Linked DNA regions of Oreochromis niloticus. The protein of the gene in region 1 interacts with the protein of each later gene in a pairwise test. Links are inferred from orthologs where the notes say so. Each region holds a gene or a part of one and is shown on either strand. Other genes may lie near its edges.

Evidence for each region.
Region 2: the proteins of appl2 (region 1) and cradd interact in binary tests that used the Homo sapiens proteins (3 or more experiments, as listed by UniProt). The two-hybrid records come from large-scale screens. The link is inferred for Oreochromis niloticus from reciprocal best matches to the Homo sapiens genes APPL2 and CRADD.
Region 3: the proteins of appl2 (region 1) and rab5c interact in binary tests that used the Homo sapiens proteins (3 or more experiments, as listed by UniProt). The two-hybrid records come from large-scale screens. The link is inferred for Oreochromis niloticus from reciprocal best matches to the Homo sapiens genes APPL2 and RAB5C.

Annotation. Positions count from the first base shown.
Region 1 is NC_031972.2:47,236,106-47,243,117, reverse strand, and holds the start of appl2 (DCC-interacting protein 13-beta), read left to right. Parts: upstream 1-3,932; 5' UTR 3,933-4,192; coding exon 4,193-4,249; intron 4,250-5,736; coding exon 5,737-5,835; intron 5,836-6,425; coding exon 6,426-6,485; intron 6,486-7,012. UniProt on the Homo sapiens protein: Multifunctional adapter protein that binds to various membrane receptors, nuclear factors and signaling proteins to regulate many processes, such as cell proliferation, immune response, endosomal trafficking and cell metabolism.
Region 2 is NC_031981.2:22,776,393-22,783,972, forward strand, and holds the start of cradd (death domain-containing protein CRADD), read left to right. Parts: upstream 1-4,542; 5' UTR 4,543-5,444; coding exon 5,445-5,742; intron 5,743-6,638; exon of another isoform or gene 6,639-7,580. UniProt on the Homo sapiens protein: Adapter protein that associates with PIDD1 and the caspase CASP2 to form the PIDDosome, a complex that activates CASP2 and triggers apoptosis.
Region 3 is NC_031969.2:26,577,434-26,584,710, forward strand, and holds the start of rab5c (ras-related protein Rab-5C), read left to right. Parts: upstream 1-4,219; 5' UTR 4,220-4,359; intron 4,360-7,277. Other genes in the region: kcnh4a (potassium voltage-gated channel subfamily H member 4a), read left to right, coding at 115-153, 589-944, 1,033-1,112, 1,252-1,325, 1,524-2,480. UniProt on the Homo sapiens protein: The small GTPases Rab are key regulators of intracellular membrane trafficking, from the formation of transport vesicles to their fusion with membranes.

The DNA.
Region 1 (7,012 bases):
GGAACCACAAAGGGTCGTGCATAGGCCTCTTTATAGCCCCGAGTGATTCTCAGAGCATCTCTGTTCTTCATTTCACTCACGATGTATGCGCTTGAAATGCAAGAGCAGTCACATGAGTAGAGTATGATGGCAAGAAGCATTACATTAGCACTCTGCACCAGTCAAACCAATTCACACTTTCTGTTAGCGGTGTTATCTATATTATCATGGGAGTCGAGATTTTTAAAATTCAAATGAGACGTTTCCAGAGGAAAAAAAAAAGACATCATAAATTCTCTTTCTGTTTTATGCTAGATGGACTCATTTCCACAGGCCTGAGATGCTTCTTATGTGTAGATGAACTGATGTGTGAGACTAATTTTATTTAAATTTCTCATACACAATTACAAGTGTCTAGAAGAAAAAGAAGGCCTTGTGTGCAGTAAAGTCAGTCTTAAACTGTTGTGCACAATCCATTGCAATCTGAAGTAAAATACATTATAGGAAAAATGCTTTCTCGCCTCATGCTTGCTCTTTATGTGCGCCGTGAGAGGACTGATGACACTGCCATCTGTCAGTTCATTGTAAAACTGGCAGCTGGTTAGCTTAACACAGTCACTGAAAACGGGAGGAAACAACTATACTGGGGCTCTATCCAAAGGTGGGCTGCAAAAATCAGCTTTGGACCTGATTCACCTCCTTACACAGCAAGAGCTGATGGCGTCTGTGAGGACGCAGGGCGTAAGAGATCCTGTGGAAGTCAGCGGCCACTTGGAATGGTTTGCTGCTACCACAATGAAGGAGTGCAGAATGCCACGGAGCCCCCCCACAGCAGCTTCCACCTGCTTGGATGTACTTCCAAGCTTTGGTGAGCTACTATCAGTTGCAGCTCAGACTGAACAACTTTTCTCCTAAAAGAACATATTTCTGTACCTGTCACTGTTAGCCACCCACACAGAGAATCATAAAAAGGTGACCTTGAGTGGTAAAGCATCTGCATGAAATTCACCACATCCAGTCTTTGTGGCACACAAGAGCAGGACAGAAGGTACATTTTAAACGTCTGGGGGTGAACTGTCAGAAAAAGTCTCAACACAATCTGATCAAGAGATCATCATGGATGGTTGACCTTAGGCCATGTAAATAAGTAAGCATTGTCTAGTTATATAGCAGTGTTCAAGATCAAAAGTCACAAATTAAGACATAACAATTAAAACAGTATAAAGTGATTAAACTAATAAAAGGTGATTGTAGGGAGGTGGGTCCAAATCTCCTCTTGTCTTTAACTTTGATCTAGGTGCAGCCAGCAAGCTGATCTCAGAGATCTAGCAATTGCATGTGGATGATGTAGAAGACTAGTAAGTCCAAATCCAGGACATCTGATTATGAAGCACTCTAAAGGCGATAACCACTACTGAACCCTAAATTTTACCAGCATGAAGAAGCTCAAATCGGCGTCACAATGGACCTTATAGAAGACCCGGTGAGTAGTTTCGTAGTAACATTGAGAACCGATTTAGGAATAATTTCCTCCAGCAAAGCAATAATGAATTACATTAATCGAGGTGTGAGAAACAAAAGAATGAACGGCCATTTCCAAATCGCACTGAGACACAATATATGTGTCAATAAATGTGACACGATATATATTAACACCCAGGCATAAGCTAAGCAATCTGCTTCTTAACAGCTGTTTTAAATGTATGTGAAAGGATCTGTATGACTAGTCTGTGGGATGGTTACCGGGCAGAGGTACGAGTTGAAAGCAAAGGATCTTCTGGATAAAAATGCGTCAGTATTTCAAAAGATGTCTGTCATCCCCTTTATGTTTGTAGAAGAAGTTCTAAAAGTTTTGGTGCTCGTCTGACTTTTGCTTTGGCACCTTAACAAGGTTTATAACTGCATTATCTGTGAGAAAGCTTGACAGAGGGATAGTGATCACATTTACCTCATGAACATGAGTGTAATTATTTTATATCAACAAAACTGACATACTCTCAGTCTACTTTGCATTTACACTTAGTACTTAGCACTATTTAGGAACTGTTAGAAGGCTAACATGCTAAAATTAGTATGGCTAATACAACTTTTAAGGTATGTTTTGACTAGGTGGGCTTTACTTTAGCCCTAGAAAAGCAAAGATTATTAACTGTACGCCAGATACAATGCAGCTTGCTCCTTTCAGGGTGGTCTTTAGCTGAATCACTCTTTTATTTAAAAGAGGCTATCCAGACAATACCCATTGCTGTTTTACCAGACTTCAAACATAGTTCATTATCAAAGTTAGAGCTGAAAAGCTTTGTCTGATTTACAGCCACAACTATACCAATTAAACAAGGCAAGTCCACTGGGGAGCGAAGAATGATCTCCCACTCAGGCCGCCTGGAAGCTTGATGAAGAGGCACTGCTTGTCACAGCTTGCCTAGATTATCAAGGCACAACACAACATGACATGGCCATCCTAACAAGTCAACAAGACAGTTATTCAGATTGGAAAAAATGTAAAATACTACACGAGTGCATATTACATGCTGTCTTCTTACTGTGCCACAGCCTAATATAGCAGGATTTGTTTTAGGTTTTTAGGTTTTAGGGCTGATGTTAATACAGATTTTTATAGAGAGAAAAAAACAGTGAGTACTCTTATATTCATTATATCAAAGTTATATAAAGGTTTAACTTTGCAAAGGTTTATTTCTCAAACTACCTGTTAGGACAAAACAGTAAATATGTTTTAGTTGTTGTTTTTGTTTTACTTTGTATAGCCTTTGCAGTAATTGCGATTTAATTAGAGAGCCAGAAACTCAGCACATCACATGCTCAGCCAATTTGTCAGTTGCGATTGATGCAAAGCAAGACAGAGCTTCTGGTCCTGATTACTTACCAGACTAAAATGTAATTTTAAAAGGTTTGTGCTACTTATCACCATCCATTGGTTTACATCCATTTATCTCTCAATAAATACTAACTGCTTCCTTATATCAATCAACAATCCTTTTTTGTTGTTGGTGGGGTTTTTTTGTTTGTTTGTTTGTTTATTCCTCAAAGTAAAGGAACATTTTATTTTGTAATGAGTGGAGTGAGCTGTTCTGGGGTAATAGTGCCTCCATCCATATGGCATGAATTGCCACTAAATGGATTGATCAGTATAAATTTTATAGAAATGTTATGTTATCTATACCCAGCTGAGCATCTATGGAAGACATTGGTCCAATAAATCAGACAGTGCTTTCTCCCACCACTTAAACAGGACTCCAGTAGAGTTCAGTGGCGCACTAATGTTTTTCTACTGGCACATGATGATCCATCTAGAGGTTAGGATAGGTATCAGATTGATACTTTGTTCCTATCCTCTAAGTTCAGTACGGAGCATACTGAATTGGGATACATTATTTATGTTTTGTTTTCTTTTTTCTTTTTTCTTTTTTTGGGGGAAATGAAAAAATATCCGCTATGAAAAATGTCTGAACCCTTTTGTGTTGACTGTCAAATCTATTTTTATAGCCTATAGCACATTTAAACAACAGTAAATAGAGAGAGGGGAACATTTAGAATTCTGAAAAACCAAATTTCCAAATACATGAAAAACTGAAAGGTGTGTTTGTTTTATTAAACTCATTAAAATGGGTTCAGAATTTGTCAATTAAGGAGGCTTTATCTCATACAACATGACACTGCTCTCCCCTACGTAAGCTTTATAGCTTTAAAGCGTGGTATCGGCAGTAGTTGCTCTTTATTTACTTGATATTACATCGATACTAAAAATTGTAGTACTGCACAGCACTGCATTTCATCACCTCACGAAGAAACTTTGTGTTGTTTTTCCTTTAAATTTTTTTAAAACCCTATTTGAAAAATCAATGCTGCAATTCTTTATGTGACCACACGGGGTCACTGTTGACATTAGAATGTCCTAGGATACTGTAAGTCGCCATTATCGCCGACGCTTTGCCGTAAATAATTAGGATAAAATCAACTTAAACACTGAACTATATATATATATCTATATGTATATATCTCTATATGTCTTTAAACAACCTCAGAGTTTGAGGATGTTTACTCTTACTGGTCACCAGCTGTTAGATGACATCATGACTGGGCCTGCTACCAATTGCATACGGGCTTCTCTTTTTCGCGCAGTAGTGTCTGGGAAATTGAGTCCGTACTCTAAATAATTCAAGCCCTCGTTCCCTTCTCCTGCACAGCTAACAAGATGCCGGCCGTACATCACAAACTGCTCCTGGAGGACGCTTTACAGGACAGTCCTCAGGTAGGCCTGCGTCTCTTTTCTCATGTTTGTGTACCCAGCTGTCTCATTAAAGGCGTTACGAGCGCCGAAGTTAGCTTAGCCCAGACAGTATCCAGTACCCGTTGTAGTCTGTTTCCACTGGTCGATGACAGTTCTCAATTGACACATTGTTACAAGAATTGTAATCCCCCTGTGAGCAGTAGCTGCACCTTCAAGTCATTTCTACAGCATGTCACGGTTATGTGGATTTTTTGTGTGTCTCCGTTGTATTTACAAAGCTACCGCCCTTCTCAGGGATTCCATCTCTCTCCCAGAGATGATTTATCTGGTGTACATCCAGACCTGTGTCAGTCACAACCATATAGCTCCACCAGACTCGGTGTCCTGCAATCGTTTTATTTTCTAATGCCGTGAAGTTATTTTGATCTAAATTCTGTTCTGTAGCCCTTCTGGGCCTGATTCCCAGGATGTGGGAGGGGTTTCCATTATCGGACTCCCCTGGAATTAGTCAACAGTCTGCAAACAGGGCAGTGTTACTGCAAAAATAACATGCCAAATTTTTACAGGGTACAAAACGCTTACACTGTGTACAAGTTATTCACCGAGTTCGGCATTCATTTTCATGCATGACCGTGGGTGATGAATTCTGTCCTTGCTACATCTAATGCATCCTGTTTTCTGTAGTCTGTTGCATCACTCTTCCTCTAAAGAGGGCTGACCTCTTTGGAGGTTCTGCTTAAGTGTAACCCACGCTGGAGGGTCACTGTCTGCTTAGTGGTTTCCTTCCTCAAAACAAGACATGTACCTGGCATCTTTGTACAGTAACACACACATACAGCCAAGCGTCATGATGTCTTGTTGGTGTGAAATGACTCATGGTCCTTTTATTGGATAAGTCAGCTTGAGTGAACTGTAAACAGACTTCACTCTCTGGGTGTGTTCCATTCTGCTTGAACTGCCCTACCTTGCTGCACCTGTTTATGGAAAACACTTCACCAGACAGGATTTTGTCTGTTTGCATATCCACCCTGCAGTAAAATACGTATGCCTTTAGTTTAACTTTAAGTTTTGCTTGAGTATAATCCGGCTACCCACATTTCTTGAGCTCAGTGACTTGTGTAGATTTTCATCTGACTTAAGGTTAAGACCAGTATTTATCATCGGAAGTACTTGTTTATTTACAGTATATCTGTTCTTCTGGGGGGTTTTTTTTTTTTCATTTTCATTGGTCAGAAAACAGTTTTAAAAGTTCCCATTACAACTTTCCAGGATGCCAGACTTTCATATGGGTTTTCATGCAAATCTACCACAACAAAAAGCCACAGTGATATTTTTCACCTTGTGAAGTAACTGAGATCAGTTATCAGAATATTTAAGTTCTGTAAGTTAGTGGGAAAATTGTTGGATAAGGTTTTTCTAATTATTTCACTTTGTGCTCAGCTATTCATGCCATTATAGTGTTCATCAGAAGAGTCTGTAATGTTTTTGTTTTTTCCCCTTACCCACAGACTCGCTCTTTGCTCAGTGTGTTTGAGGAAGATGTGGGAATGCTTACAGACTACACCAACCAGCTGCTACAATCAATGCAGCGGGTGTTCGGAGCACAGGTACTAAAACAAATTACTGTCAGGCGCAGGCTTGCACTCCTTTCCATTTGCTGTTTGGAACAGAGCCACATGTTCAAACACATAATAGGAGATTTTTTTCCCCCCCTTACGTTTGTAGATGAACATGAGTTCTAATTTAACTTGCTGATTCTGGGTTTTGCATCACTGAACAGCAGCAGAGTGTTGTGTTTGGTTTGATTTGATTTAGGATGCCATTTGAGCTACTGTTTTTGATGAGAAACGTACCAAACTGTAACACCATACTCTCAGCCCCACAATGAAAATTTGTCTCCTGTAGAAATGGAGCAGAAAACATTTGGTGTAGAAGTTTGTTTTTGACCTATATTTACTTTGTGGTTAAAATGTTGCGTTATTAATGTAACCCTGGTTCTCTGAGGTATCTCATTATTGAAGGTGCCCTCTGGTGTTTTCGCCAGCTTTTCAACAGATATTGAATCGCATTGCACCCAAAAAACATTTTTTTATAAATGTTCTCAGTAAGTGAAAAAATGCATGATGTTTGAGCTTGAAGGAGTAATCAGTCCTTTTTCTTAACATGTATTTATTTTCCTTCTTTCGTTCCACCACAGAGTGAGATGGGACTGGCCACAGAGCAGCTCTCAAAGCAACTTTTGGAATACGAGAAGAAAGTAAGTAGGGTTCATATGCTTACTTAATCGTGTGATTGCACAAAAAAGACAGAAGCCTGTGTTATGAGTACTGTCCATGTGGGCTATAGACACTTTTTATCATTTTGATCTGAACTTTCTGTTCGTGTGTGAGTTTGCATGTGTCCTTCCTCCTGTGTGCAGCAAAAAAAGCCTTGGAGGAGTGCACCTCCTTTGGCAATGTAGCCAACACAAATCTATTAAATCATTTAGAGAAACATATGTGGATAGTTGACCTTTGTTGGTAGACTTTGTTCTGGATTGCAGGGTGAATGTGAACAAAAACAGCAGTGATCTGTAACTGCAGAACTTTTTTAGCACTCTTATGATTAAAACTCAGCATCTTGACTTTAACTACTGGCTTTATTACCATCTTTGACCTTGTCTGTGTTTTCTACCATGACCCAGATGACCGAGAACCTACACAGATATCTTTGGCCTTGTTTAATGAAAGGGATGTGCCAGAAATCCTGGCAGAACAGGGTGGTTATTTCAAATTTGTCTCATAG
Region 2 (7,580 bases), on another chromosome or scaffold:
CTGTAGATTAAAAAAAACAGGTTTGGAAAATATTCCCTTAAAATTAGGGCTGCAATTAAAGATTGGTAGTTGACTAATCTGCCAATTTTTCTTAAATTGGTCAACGATTAGTTCAGTAACTCTTGTCTCTGTGGGCAAACCTGTTCTAGGCTCCAGGACCTCACCTTCTCAGGTCTGCCCACCTGTGAATGTCATCCTGTTGTCTCATTCAACAGCAAATTTAAATAATTACCCAGGAAGCACGTGAATTTGAAAATAATCAAATGTATCTTTAACATTACTATTAGGACAGTCGGAATAAAAGTGAAGTGAATAAAATATTAAGTAATATAAATTAAAGTGCTACTTTAAACAAGAGTGGGAAAAAATATAACAAATTTTTTCCATAAGCTCAAAGCTTTAAATTAAATTTAAAATTTTTTTTTTTTTCAGGTTCAAAATAACCAGTTTGAAGATTATTCATGGAGTAAGGCTCGCTCTTGTCTTTAAGATGATGTTCACAATTGCTGATAAACATGCTGAAGATGCTTTCTGTCATGACTTCAGCGATTTGAGAGGTGCACCAGCCTCTTTTCAGAGGTTTTACTGGTTTGCTATCGGTTTTCACTCATTGGCTAGCGAAACTTAAATGCTTCATCATCCTGAGAAGTTTCTGACCGGTAAACATAAACATTACTGTACAAACATGAACAAGGTATCAATGTGACGCACTGACTTAACTCTCAATAATGGACTCATCAGAGCTGATGTAACAGCTCCAGGGTGGCAGCGTTTTAAATGCTTGTGCACTGCTGTCGTGGAAGGAAAGCTCCGTTTTGCACAGTCTGGTTTAACTGTTTAATTTCTGTAAAATACTTGCACTCTTTTTTTTTTTTTTTTTTTTTTTTTAAATCTCCCTTTCAATTTACTTCTGTCATCCACTTTTGCTGTTTACACGATGTGCTTCTTCATTAGTAGTGAGTCCAGTCTTGCCAGATGATAGCAACATTACTGCCCCCGTAGCTTCCTGTAGTGTATTGTCGTTATAAAAACACATTCATGTGGTTTTACTATATGATGCGTCACAGTCAACTTCAATTGTAGCAGGCCTACTTAAAATGGCTTTTTTTTTTTTTTTTTTTTTTTTTTAAATGGAGTCTGGTGTGAGAAGAAAGTAAACACAGCAAATTGTGGGGGCTTGGCTTCATGGGTTACTAGCTTTTCACTTTATTTCAAATTTAAAGTAAACAGTGGGTGTCGAGAAGCTGGCCAATCAGAAGACAGTATGCTTTTAAAAGACGAGGACTGAAATGACTTAACAAAATAAGTAAAAACAAATATTAACTTTATAGTTATTATATAATGTGTTTTTGTTTTTTTATTTGTAAGATTTTAAAATAAAAGGTAAAGTAAATAAGCTTTGAAAATATGGAGGGAAATACAAAGGCAAAAAAGAACAGAAACAAAACTAAAATATAAATGATTATTTTTATTTAAAATATTTTTAAATAAATTCAAAAATTGAAGAAAACGTAAATTAAATAAATGGAGGTATTAATATAAAATGAGACAAAATGTCCCATCTCATAACTTCATTATTTTGTGTGGGGTTTTTTTTTTTTTTTTTTTTTTTTAAATGGTTTTGTGCACAGTTTTGGCGATGTTGTACCTCCATATGTGACCTCTTTCAACTTGGTCACAGAAATTTAAGTGTTGAAACATGAATATTAATCCATTATTGATTAACCTTTTTTTCACATTTTTAAATATTTATTATTGATCAAGTTAGTAATTGTTCCCATTAAGTTATTGTTTGATCAGTAAAAAAATATATACAAGAACAATTCAACAGTTTGAAGAAGCCTGAACCTGAAAATATTCTAAAACCAGTCAGCAGTTCCAGTGATTTTCTAATTGATCTTTTGTTTGATTATTTGGCCTCTTCATGATTTAAGTTTCTGTGAGGATTTCTATGGAAATAATTAACAGAAGGAAAACAAAAGCCAGGAAACAGAATAATTTTCCATTGTTCTCCACCAGTCAAAGCCTGTCAGTCCCACCTGTAAACACAAGTAAACAGAGCCCTGTGATTGGCCGATGGACAGCCTGTGACAGTGAACGCTGGTGAGGTGGAGAGTCGAGGTGTCCTCGTTGACGTTCTGAATGAAAACAAGCTGATGTCCCCCTCAGACTTTGTACCTGCATGTAGTAAATACTCAGTTTTCTTACTCTGTGATTGGCTCAGAGCTGCAAAGGTGCAGGACCTGTTAATGCCGTAGTAAGGAGACGGAAAGTCACACTTTCAAAGCTCAGTTCATCAAATAACCTCAGTCTGCAGCAATGAACCAGCTTCAGGCTGTGTGAAGACCTTCCAACCCAACTCGATTTAAAAGTCCCACATTTTTAGGACCAGTATCACGGTCTCCTAAATTCAGCACAGACACAAAGACCTGGTTAAAAAAATGTTTATATCTTTATTTTATTTTACCAGGAAGTCTCACTGACACCAAATCTCTAATTTCCAGCCCTTACTCAGGAAGGAACCTTTAACTACAATTCAGCCAAACTCAATTCAAAAATCAAAATACATCCTGCTGGTGTTAGTAGTTAGCTTTATGCCTCTTAGAAATGTTGTGATAGTCCGGTAATTTCAGCACCATCTTTGTTGTTGTTGTCGTCATATTCATCGGGGTTTTTCCTGCTTACAAAAAGTTCTTGTTTTAGCCCCAGTGTAAAAGAAAAATCCCCAGGAATGTGGTGCAAGCGGGTGTGATTTGGATTAAACAGTCTTAGTCTCAATTATGTCTCCAGCCATCATGCTTCCATGCGCTGTCGCCTCGTGGAAAACAAACCCGCTGAACCACCACGCTTCACAAACATGTTCAGTCACACCGACCTTGACCAAACCTCAGAAATTCAAATTCATTTTACATCTTTATGACTGACTGGACAATGTTTAACAACCCTGATCAAGCCCTATTAAAAAGCTTTTGCGTTTAGGATTCATATACACCCACCAGTGTTGATGGTTAATGCTTTAACCAAACTTCATTCAAAAATTGCATGTTTTTGGGGGGGCCTGCGGAATCTTGTGGTTGTCTCATTAATCCAACAGGCATGCAAGCAAGCATGCAATTTAATAAAAAAAATAATTTAGTCATGAATCCAACCTGTTTGTTACCATAGAAATGGGGGTTACACAAGTGACTGTCAGAAATTTACAGTTTTAAAGGGTTACGTTTTTACCCAGTTGTCCCTGATCGAGGACGGGGCGTCGACGCTGCATGCTCACGTTCTGTCACCTTTCTTTAAAATCATCTTCAAACATCCAATCACAGCTCAGCATCGGCCATGTTGGGGTTGTTCTTCCTGTTCTACAGGAGAAGGGGCAGAGCTGTGTGGTTATGTAGCTGATCAGGTAAACAGGGTGTGTCGTGTGTGTGTGTGTGTGTGTGTGTATAAGGAGGGCCAATCAGGGTGTTTGATTGTGCTTCAGCCTTGATATCTGACCAGTTCCATGATGAAGATGACAAAGAGCAGCTGAATTAAACATGGATGTGCCAAGCAGGCGAAGCGTGTGCGCGTTCCTGTACATATCGCAGCCCCTGTGATTTGATAAAGTATTTATTGATCATGTCTGTGTTTCTGAAGCATGTAAAAGATGAACTGATCAGCTCCCACCAGGAGATCAATAAATTTTATATGGTGCCTCATCAATAACGTCTCACTGCTGCTTATATTTCATGCTGTTATTGATTCACATCCACAGGACGAAACAGGACAGGTGTGTGTGTAATAAATGTTTTTTTTTATCATTTATTGAGAGGAAAAAGCTGAATATCTTCATTAACAATGAGACTTTTAAAAAAGTATAATACAAAGAAACAAATGATGCTAATAAAAGCTCTGTTAAATTTTGTTTCTCTGGGTTAGTTTATGAAGGCCTATTCTTTATGGAAGCCAGAACAGTCATAATTGTTGTTGAAGTTCATTTAGCAAGAACTGCTGCAAGTTATTCCATCCATTTTCTAGATTTGTAGAAATTACAAAAGTTCATGATTAAAACAGATGAAACTTCCTGGTCCTTTAAATTAAAGATGTAAAAATTGAGATTCTTTTTCCCCCACATTTTTAAATGTGCAAATGAGACATTGTACAGTAGTCAGCTTTATGAATTTGTCTCAGTGTACCGTGTTTTATTTTGTGGCTATGTATAAATTATTGATGTTTTTCCTTTTTGATTTTTCTTATTGATATTTCTTTTTAGAAGTCTTTAAACACACCACGCTGTGTTTTGCAAAATTTATTTCAACAGATCATAGAGGGTTCATTTTTGGAAGGACATTAAATCCAGAAACAGGATTAATTTAAAAACATATTACATACATATTTGCAGATTTATCAATAGAACCTCATGTCTGACTGGAAATTAAATCAGTAAAAAAAAAAAAAATCTCAGTGATGTCATTAAACGTGAAAAATAGAAAAATAGACACAAAACTCTGAAGTGTGAAAAAGGTTTTTAATTTCAGTTTAAATCCCCATCACTGCCAAATATATTTTAAAAAACACAACATGTTTTTTCATGTTGGCTGGCTGTACGAAGTTTATCCTTCAGTCAGAAAAACAGAAATGAAAGCACAAATAAACATATGAATCACATATTATCAGTAACAATGTCAAAAACAGATTCAGTTAACTGTAAATTGATCTTCTGAAAATAAAAGCTCGTAATAAAGGACAGTGTGACACGAGGTTTTGTAAACTCCATGGAAAATCTTTCAGTTTGGGAATTTTATGTTGAATTCCTAAATGTAAGTATCTGATAGAATAAATATATTAACTTCTTTGGTCAGATTGTGGCTTTTTAATGAATTCGGCAGATATTTTATAAACTTTATTTATTCTTTATTTATCTTGTATCTATAAAATTACCCTTGGTTTTAGCTCATGCTGTGTGTTAGCTAACGTTGCTCGACGCTCTGGTACGCTGAACCTAATTGAATACTTTATTTTTGAGGTTTCTTCGTGGATTTATTAATTATGAATATTAATCAGTAAAGTGGAACGCTCTGCGAGGCTTCTCACCGAACTTCGGCGTACATTTACGTCACCAGAAATCATCTTATCAGAAGCAATCTGCATAACATCTGTTTTCCCTCAAAGTTGATTTTATCTGGGGTAGAAACGCATGCCGAGTTTAAGATCGATGATTAACGAATCCTTCCACGCAAATAGTTCCCATAATTAACCACCAATCTAAGCAAATGCGATTGTATTGGCATGAAAAATGTGAAAGCTACATGATTAGCAAAGACTTTCGTTCCGCCTGCTTGTTTCCACCCGAGCACAAAAACACAGAGCAGTTGAAAGGTAGTTGTACGGGCGGTGAGCTGACACAAATGACTAGTTTAATGATGTGGAACTGCTTATTTATGTGAGCTAATTAGTCGGGTTTCGGTGAAATGGACCCGGCGCACAGAGCCGTCCTCCGAAAACACCGGCTGGAGCTGTCCGGCCAGCTACTGGTCAGCGACACCATCGTTCCGTTTCTGTACCAGGAGGAGATTTTAACGGACGCGCAGGTGGAGGACATCGAGTCCCGGTCCACGGAGAGACAGAAGACCCTCAGGCTCCTGGACCTCTTGCCAAGCCGCGGGCCCCGGGCCTTCCAGTCCTTCCTGCTGTCCCTGCAGGACTTCAGCTGGGTCCGGGACCTACTGCTGCAGGAGCTCCAGACCCCACCTGAACCCGGACCCACAGGTAAGACCAATCAGGGTGCGGTGGAATCATACGTCACTGCATAAACCCAGAAGTCTTGTTGGCAGAAACACGTGGCAGAGGTTACGTGTTGGCCTTTGTTTTAGGATCAGACGAGGGTCAGAGGTCACTGATGTTTCTCCATCCGGTTGTTCAGTCTGACGTCACTAGCCGTGTCTGGGCCTAAACTCCGCTGCAGGTCCATATATCAAACGATCACTGTGGCATTACTGAGAGTTGAAAAACTGTCTAAAGTCTTTCATCTTTAATAAAATGATCAGTGTTCTGCTCTACCAGGTGTAACAATTGAGTTTAACATCCAGGCATCCATGAAAATGGAATTTATGACATTTAACGGCGTTAGAAGTTAGCAGGAAGTTAGCTCGCTAGCTTCTATCTAAATACAATATAGCATGTCCTGGCTGCGGGGTTTTGGAAACAAATTCAAACGTACAGCTCTGCTATCACTTCCAACATAAATGAAGACAGAAAACTAAACAGCAGTGACGTTTGTAGGGTTACTGAAGTTTGGCTAGCTGGTATATAATGATGTGCTACGTGACCGCTAGCGACACAGCTATGTTAGCATAATATAAACAAACTAACTTTTTTTCCACTCGATAAAAGTTAACGTGAGTGTTCTCGGTGGTCAGGAACAAATGTAATCGCATGGCAGGATGCTGTAAAAGGACTAAACTTCAGCCAGGAGAACAACTGAGATAATCCATCCACAATACGAGGTTAGTCATTCATATACTGCTGCATGGGCTGTGCTGTAGTTACATCGTAAGGTTTTAAAAACTGAGCTTAAATAAATGATTAGCGGTAATAAAAGCCGAGGGAGGTCAACAGTGATCACTGACTGTTTTATGAGCTTTTTGAGATTAAATGGAAGAAAATACAAAACATTAAACATGTTAACAACACAAAAGCCATATTAAAGGCAGACTACTTTAGGCCCGGAAGTAGGATTCGTCACGTCATCACTGAACAACCGGATGGAGACTACATTCAGTGTGACCAGGTCCAAGTGTAAGACCACTTCACTTGGACCTCTGTAACCTGGATTACATCAAAGACTCTGACCGGGGTGACTGGGTCACATTTAATTCAACCAAACCTCATGGAAATATTGTCTGATTTTAGGACTGAACCATGAAATAATTCCCAGAAAATTAAAATTTTTGAAAATGGACAGTTTATTGAACCATCTATCCATCCATTACATTTTAATTTTTATACATGACTTTTAATTTGTATTGCATTTGTTGCATTTGGCTTTTTCTTTTTTTAAAAAAAATTGCTTAAAAATGGATAGTGCCATTTATTTTTAGGGGGAAAATCCCACTGATGATGTAGAAGTCTCAAAAACTCACAAAAAAATGTATGTTTCAAATATGATACACTATTTAACAGTTATTAAAATCAGAGGAGTCGAAGTGTTCGGCAGAACAAATTCTCCACTTAGAAAAATGGGAGCAGACTGGTCTGCTCCGAGGAGGTTTAGGATTATGCAGAATCAGCGTCATGTGAACGGGATCCCAAACATCCGGCTGGGAGGCTGCTATCAGGTTCCTGGAAACCAAGAGGGAGGCAATAAAAGGAGGAGGTGGACGAGGGAGCCCTGGGCAGGAAAACAAGCTCTTCCTCCTCCTCCTCCTCTTCTTCCTCCTCCTCTGAGTGGAGGGTTTTCAGCCTCTCAGAATCCTCTCGTTTTATTTTTATCTGAGTTTAGTTTCCCAGAATTTTCCCGCTGCAGCCGTTCTTGGATTCCGTGATTTTAATTTTTTTTTCCAGGAAAGTCCCGCGTCGTGCTGACAAAGTATCGATGTGGAATCCTG
Region 3 (7,277 bases), on another chromosome or scaffold:
CACCACAATTCAGAATATGGTGTACAAACATACCTATGCTATACGCGACACTTTACATGTTCAGTTTACAATGTGAGTGTAATGCTTTGTTCATTTTCACCTCCATACCTTTAGGGAGTAACACGGTTTCAGCTGACACCCAGGCAGTCTCAGGTATGTCTGCCTCATTAGGATGATTAATTTAGCCTTGACATGCTTGATACAGGCGTCAGCTAAATCTGTCTTAGCTTAAAGGATTAGTCAGCCTTGCATTGCATTTGAAAACTTAGAACTCTTGATAAATGTCATGTAGATATGAAAACACTTAAAATGCCTTTTTTTATAGCTGAGATAACAATGCTCCAGTTGCTGCTAGGTAACAGAGAGAAATGAAGCAAACAGCATACACTATATATGGTTTCTACACTCTAGTCATCAAGAAAAAACACTAAGCTTAATTAAAACTATCCTACAAGAGAAGTATTTCTGACACTATCAAGATCACTAGACTAAGAATTTTTGTAGCAAACAAATCTATTACCCAACCAAAAAGCATGCACAAATCTTTGCAATCAGCTTCATTGAGTTTTCCATCTGTTTTCTCCTCAGTTTATGGATCATAAACTACCCTATATCATTCAGGGAGCTGATGCAAAACACACAGACAACGTAAATTACTCTCAGCACCGGAGACTGCCTTTACTACAGAGTATGGGCAGCCCTGTCCATCAACCCTGCCTCAGCACGTTGCTAGGCGAGGAGCTCCGGCACATCAGCGCACTGCAGCTCTGCCGATTGCCTGCTCAGGGAAGCAGGGGTTGTAGTCCTTCCCCACAACCTTTTTTCAGTGAGGAGCTCTCTCCATCTCCTTTACCCAGTCTTACCAGTGACCTAGACTTGAACCATCGGCCTGCCAAACTCATGCCATCTGGTTCTTGTATTAGTCCTCTGAACCTCAGTCCCAGGTGACCTATTCATTCTCCTTTGGTCAAATATCAATAATCTGTTTGCATATATTTAAATGAATATAACACCCATTTGTCTTACTGTCAGGGTCGTGGATGGAATTGAGGATAATGATCACACATTTCAGTTTAATATGGAACAGAGCGAGGCAAAGACTAATGTTGCAGGTAAAGTGTCTGAAAACTGCATGATTAATGAGAAATTGTAAATATAAGCCTTTCTATTAAGGACTAGACATTAAATATAACCCAAAGTCGGGACAGATTAGATGAGTTTCTCACTTTTTAAAAAATAATCCTCTTTCAGATCGGTTACACGTCTGTAACCTGCTTCTTGAGACAGAAGAAATGAGACAGAGCGTCAGCAAACTGAGCAAAGAGGTATGTTCCCTTATTAGGCAAAAGCGCTGCTCCTTGAAATATGCCCAAATGTGTTTTGTGAGGACACAGTAACCTTTACCTTTGAACAAGAAAATCTAATCAGTTACAGCTTGAATTCATATCAACTTAACATGATAACAGTTACTAATAAACAGTTAACAGTTTTGAATAAAAAGTCAATTTTTCTCACTCTTTCAGGTAATTAACTTAAACCAAGATGTTTCCAACCTTGCCAAGGAACTCCATGACATAATGCATTTTCTGCATTCTCATATGACAATGCTCCACAATAACTCTCCAGCTTCCACATGTTCATGTGGCACTCAGGTGCTCCCCAACCCAAGTGTGACAACGTGTAGCCACTGGCAACCGGATGTCCCTTTAAATATCTCCACTGGGTTACCAACTGTTCATGAAATGATTAGCCATCCTGCTAGAAATACATGGCACTCCAGTGGAATACCCTCCCAGTGCACAAGTTCCGCCTTGCTGTACTCGTCAAGCACAATGCCATCCTGTTCACACCTGGGCTGCTCTGACAGAGACACAACTCAAAGGCTTCAGTGCTTCTCTAGCCCTTTCCAAACACCCAGAACATCTCCAGGCTCTCCCTACATGACCTTCTCTCATGCCCATGGAGGTCCATCCCTCCTGGGCATCAGTTCTGCCTTCAGTGGCTACCCATTAAGTTGTCAGGCCTCACACATGGTTAGTAGTGCACAAATCCACACAATAAGCAGCACCCACTCCTTATGTTCTACGGTAAACTGTGGCTACTCCCAGCCACCCCTAAGTGTTCAAACCAACTCGGATTCTTTACATAATCAGACCAAATCCCAGACACCTATCCATTTATCCACCACTCCTTCAGCCCAACCACAGTATCACACTGCCTTCAGCTCTTTGACGCCATCAAGAGCCCACACTTTGATATACACAGGATACGAGGACCAGCGAGGTACTGTCGAAGGCTCCAGACAGAATGATCCAGTAGGATCCAGTCCTGTCCACCAAACACAGGACCTGGCAAGTTCTCTGATGGAGCAAGTACCAAACATGGACTGCAAAGCTTCACTGTATAAAGAGAGGACAGAGACCATGGAGTCTCATTCCACAGGGGACAGCATTCTTGATATGAAAGAAAGGCCACACTGATGACATCCCTATCTGGTTATGCTATCAGTGAGTAAATAACAAAGCTGATGTAATGTTTAGAGTACCTTACCAAGAAATCTGGTGTGAAGTTTGAAATTAATAAATTGTTATTTAGCCAAATTCTCAATCAACTATTGGAATCCAACTGCCACTACAGAATAAACCTTTTTTTCCACTGATGGTTCTTGTGTTTTTATCTGGCATTAATAATGTTTGTGAATTCTGGTTGAGATTAAGGCATGGTCTGCATATATCATAGCTGAAGCAATCTTATTTTCAAGCCATACACTCTCACTCAAGCATTCAATGCAAAATTGTTTGACTAGTTATTCATTTTATTTGTTTATTTATTTTTTTCTATCAAGTGAATTGTCACTGCTGTATTCATCCACAAAATGTTTCCAGGGTTGACTTAGAAGCCACAAGTGGATGGGCAGCACCCCTGAGTGGTGATATGTCGTTACTACAACAAACACAAGACTGACATTTCGTCACACTGAGCTCAAAATAACTGATCTGAGTCAGATATGGCCTTTTGGAGCCACAACCAAGCTTTTGACCTGTAGAATGATGTAAAATATTCCTGAAACATGTTAATCATATTTGACCAATCTTGGTCCAACCAACCTGGCATATAGCAATGACATTTTCTACAGACTGCTGAAAAACCTTGATATTGTTATTCATTGGTAGTATCATGGCAGATATATTTATGTCCATGTGACTCTTTAGCATTTAACAACAATTCTGAAATTAATAATATACTGAGGGGCATCATGTAAGATTTTGTGTCATTAGTCCAAGCAAAGAAGGCCATTCTTTCACTATTAATTAATCTTTTGTTTTGAACATGTAAAGATGCAAGAAGAGATAGTGAAAGTTGGTGAGTTTAACAATGAACAGTGCCCATTAGTGGTGAAGAAAAATGAGTAGGCAGGTTAGAGTGGGTGGAAATGAGTGACAGGTGATTTGTGACAGAAGGATAGCAACAAAAGTGAAAGGAAACATTTACAAGATGTTAGTGTTTGGAGATGGTGGCACTTACAAAAAGGCATGAGGTTGAGCTGGGGGTGGCAGAACTGAAGATGCAAAGATATTCATTGGGTTGTAACCAGGATGGACAAAATTAGAAATGAGTATATCAGAAGGACAGCTTAGATTAAGTGGCTTGGATACAAAGTTAAAGAGGCAAGGATGTTTTGGACATATATAGAAGAGGATAGTGGATATACTGGGCAAACACTGAGCTGCCAGGCAGGAGGAGAAAATGAAGCCCACAGGAGAAGATTCATGTAGTGAAGAAAGATATGCAGAGGATTAGTGTGACAGAGGAGGATGCTAGGGATAGGGTGATGTGGCGGCAGATGATGTGGCGACCCCTAAATGAAGAAGCCAAAGGAAGATGAAAATCATACATACAGTTCGACATTGGAGACATCACAAGGATCATTAAAAATATTAGTAAAAATTTAAAAAGGATCCTTCTTTATGAAAGCAGCTTCCAAGCTTATCCCAAGCTTATTAAAAATATTACGCTAAACAAAATTTGTTACAAATTTTCACGCCATTTGAAAAGCACAAGTTTTATTGTCAGTGTACATAATTTTCATAAACACCATATCATTATATTATAATTATATTCAAATTAACATCATTTAAGATGTTATTTATGACTAGATATTATAAAACCTTGATAAAAATGCCGTGCTGCGGACTGGAGGGTCTAGCGTAACCCGCTGTCCTCATTGGTCAGAAAGCCACTGACAAAAAGTGGGAGGTTCCCGGAAAAATTGCTAACCGGAAGGGAAGGCCGGAGCCCAAGAAGAAGAAGAAGAAGACAGCTGCTGCCGATGAGACCAGCGAAGGAAGAAAAAGTAATGTAAGTAAAACAACTTGAAATTAAGAGTCATGTTGGTGAAGAGCAATACTGAACGTGTGTTGGATTATTTTGTCGACAAACTGTTTACTATAGTTTGATCTATTTTGTTATTATTATTTTTTTCTGCTTAGCATATCAGCCAAGTCCGGGCTCAACCGAAATGCCTTATCAGAGTGGATCGAGGGGAGCTACGAGCTGCCCTGTGGGACAAACATTCTAAATATTGAAAAAAATATTAATGCCACGGCAGAGCCCTGAGGTTGCTTAGAAAAATATGACATCGTTTCATGCCAGCAAGTGGACGCAATAAGAAGTCCCGGAGTTTCTCAAACGTCAGACGGCTGACGACACAGGGCCGAGAAAAGGAAAGTTGTCTAATGACGCTTTCGACTTTTGGCCATAGCTGCTAACACAGCTAATGCTATCAGAAGTCAAGTTTCCTTGCCAAGAACATAGCCTTTGTTTTCTTTGTCAGTTTAGGCTAGCAAATGGGTGCTATTGCCAAGTAAGCAACAAGGTTGATTCTTTCACGTTGTGTAGTCAGCGTTAATTTTGTTAGCCAAGTGCTTAGTGGAACTCACAAGTTACAGTTGTGTCGTCTACGTTAATGATAGCGGTTCCTTATCGCACCTAAATGTAACGTACCGTTTTAGCCAAGACAGGTGCATTGTTGTTTGATAGTTATTTTATCGATTGTTTTGAAGCAAGCCTTACCTTTACAGTTTAAGTTGCCTTATCATTGTGCTTAACCCGGCGTCGACCGAGCAAAACTTCTCACTTACTTTGAAATATTAGTTGTAGATTAACTAACTTAATATGTTACGTTCCTGCCACCGGTTAAGTGTTTAATAACTGGTTTTATGTGCGAGGTCTAGGCTCAGTCGAGGCACATCACAGTCGTCTTATGTTCTCTAAATTAGATGTACTATCAAGGCAGCTGTAATCTCTTTTCACAATCTTGTGCTTTTTATTATCAGTTGCATTTGTGCATCACATAGTGTGACAGAGTAAATGTGCGTACATAGTCTCTTGCTTACCTCTGAAGTTGTATTTATGGCAGTGCCTTCTCATCATTAAAATGTCATTACTGCTGACTTTGTGGTGTAACATCCGCATATTGCATCGTTGGGGTTGTTATGTGCCTGCACGTGTGTCTTCTTGCATTTAACAGCAAATACTTTTTTTGTATGCTGTGTATCTTCACAGTGTATGTTTATGGCTTAATAAGGGGAACGGAGCTTGGCCTTTGAGACAAAGATGTGATTTACAGTTGCTTGCCTGAGCTCTCATGTTTATGGCATGTGGACCTTGTCCTTCTTAAACAGCCACTCTTTTTGACAACCCAGCCCTAAAATAAAGGAGGACTGCAAATTAGTTGAACACTAGTATGGATAACATTTGGGTGCTATGTTTTGGCATTGCCTTTAAAGTTGTAAGTTGTTGTAGTTAAACGGACAGCTGGATCTACTAAGTGTCACTCAATCAACTAGACTCCATTTTTGAGTAAATCTGTGTAAAGGATCAAATATCAAATCCCATTATTTAACAATTCACTTAAAATCATTTGAAGTCATAAAGGGGACAAAGTCTGTTTTAAACAATTTGATGAGATAAAAGGTCTCAGTTTGGGATCCATCTGACCATCCATACAGATATGATTGTATTTTTCATTTCAGTTAGATTTTAAGAGAGCTTTCTTTTTTCTTATTGCTATAATTTTGGTAGGTAAAGATCTGACCTCTGGCTAATGCTGATTTTAGGCTTAGTGACTAAGGTTTTCACTCATTCATCACAATAGGGGGGGAAAGTGCCAGTGATGCTCGTGATGAGTGTGGTGTTTGCTTTTCCTGTATTGTGTCCACACATTCCCATCTAAAATCACAATGCCAAAGCTATTCTTTGTTTTTAACCCCCCCAAACTGTAAAAGAACCTATCTTGGATTCAGAGCATTTCCTGTTTCTTTCGAGTTCCCAAGTATGGCGCTGCTTTTCAATCTTTGTTTACAACCTAGGACAAACTATTACCTTTGGCGGCAATAGATAGGCCTTTAATATATGCTCATGTGTCCATGCAAATTTGGACACAGCCATCTGTACAAGCAGATGAGATTATAATCAAAAGACAAAAGTATGGTCATGCAGCCCCTCATCAGATACCATTTTTGCACGACCCCACCCTTCAAATAAAGTGAACTGCACATGTCTCTGCTTGCCTTCTTAATTACAGTGTTTTGGTGGCAGGTTGTTAATCTAGTTTATAAATTGAATGTGAAAGTGATTTTCTTTTATTAAAATCTAGTCTGAAGATCATACTGTCCAAGCAAACCAAAATTTATTAATTACAAAATGTCATTTTTAATTGTGTGACCAGGAATGGAGGATTAATCCTGTTATTTTCCTTCTGCAAATATGGTCTTCTGAGAAATGGTGTTAGGGTGTTAGGTGACACCTTGTTTTCTGCATAAGAAGAGCCTCGATGATGCACTAGTACAACAATACAAAATCTTCAAATCTAGCAGTCACAAAAACACTTGTAAACTGGTCATAGCAGCTGGTAACCTGATCTTTCTGCTTAATTTTTCAGTATAACTAATGTTTAACGATACCTAGAGTTTGTTCACGGAGCAAAAGCAATTAAAAAAATGTTTTCATTACTTCTTTGACTGTTTAAACGTATTTCATTTGTGCATGCATTCTCCAATTTAGATTGCAATAAACCGCAATCACTAAGTTCTTGGATATTATGCCAGCAGCAGAACATACAAGGGGGCCACAATAAATATTTCACAGCCTCTCCCTCTCGTCTGTTGCTTTTTCCTGCCTTTTCTCCTCCCCCTCTGACCTATGTCCCACTGTCTCTCGTTCCCTGACCCACTTCCCTGTGGAGGTTTGCAGTACCCATTAGGGATGCCATCACA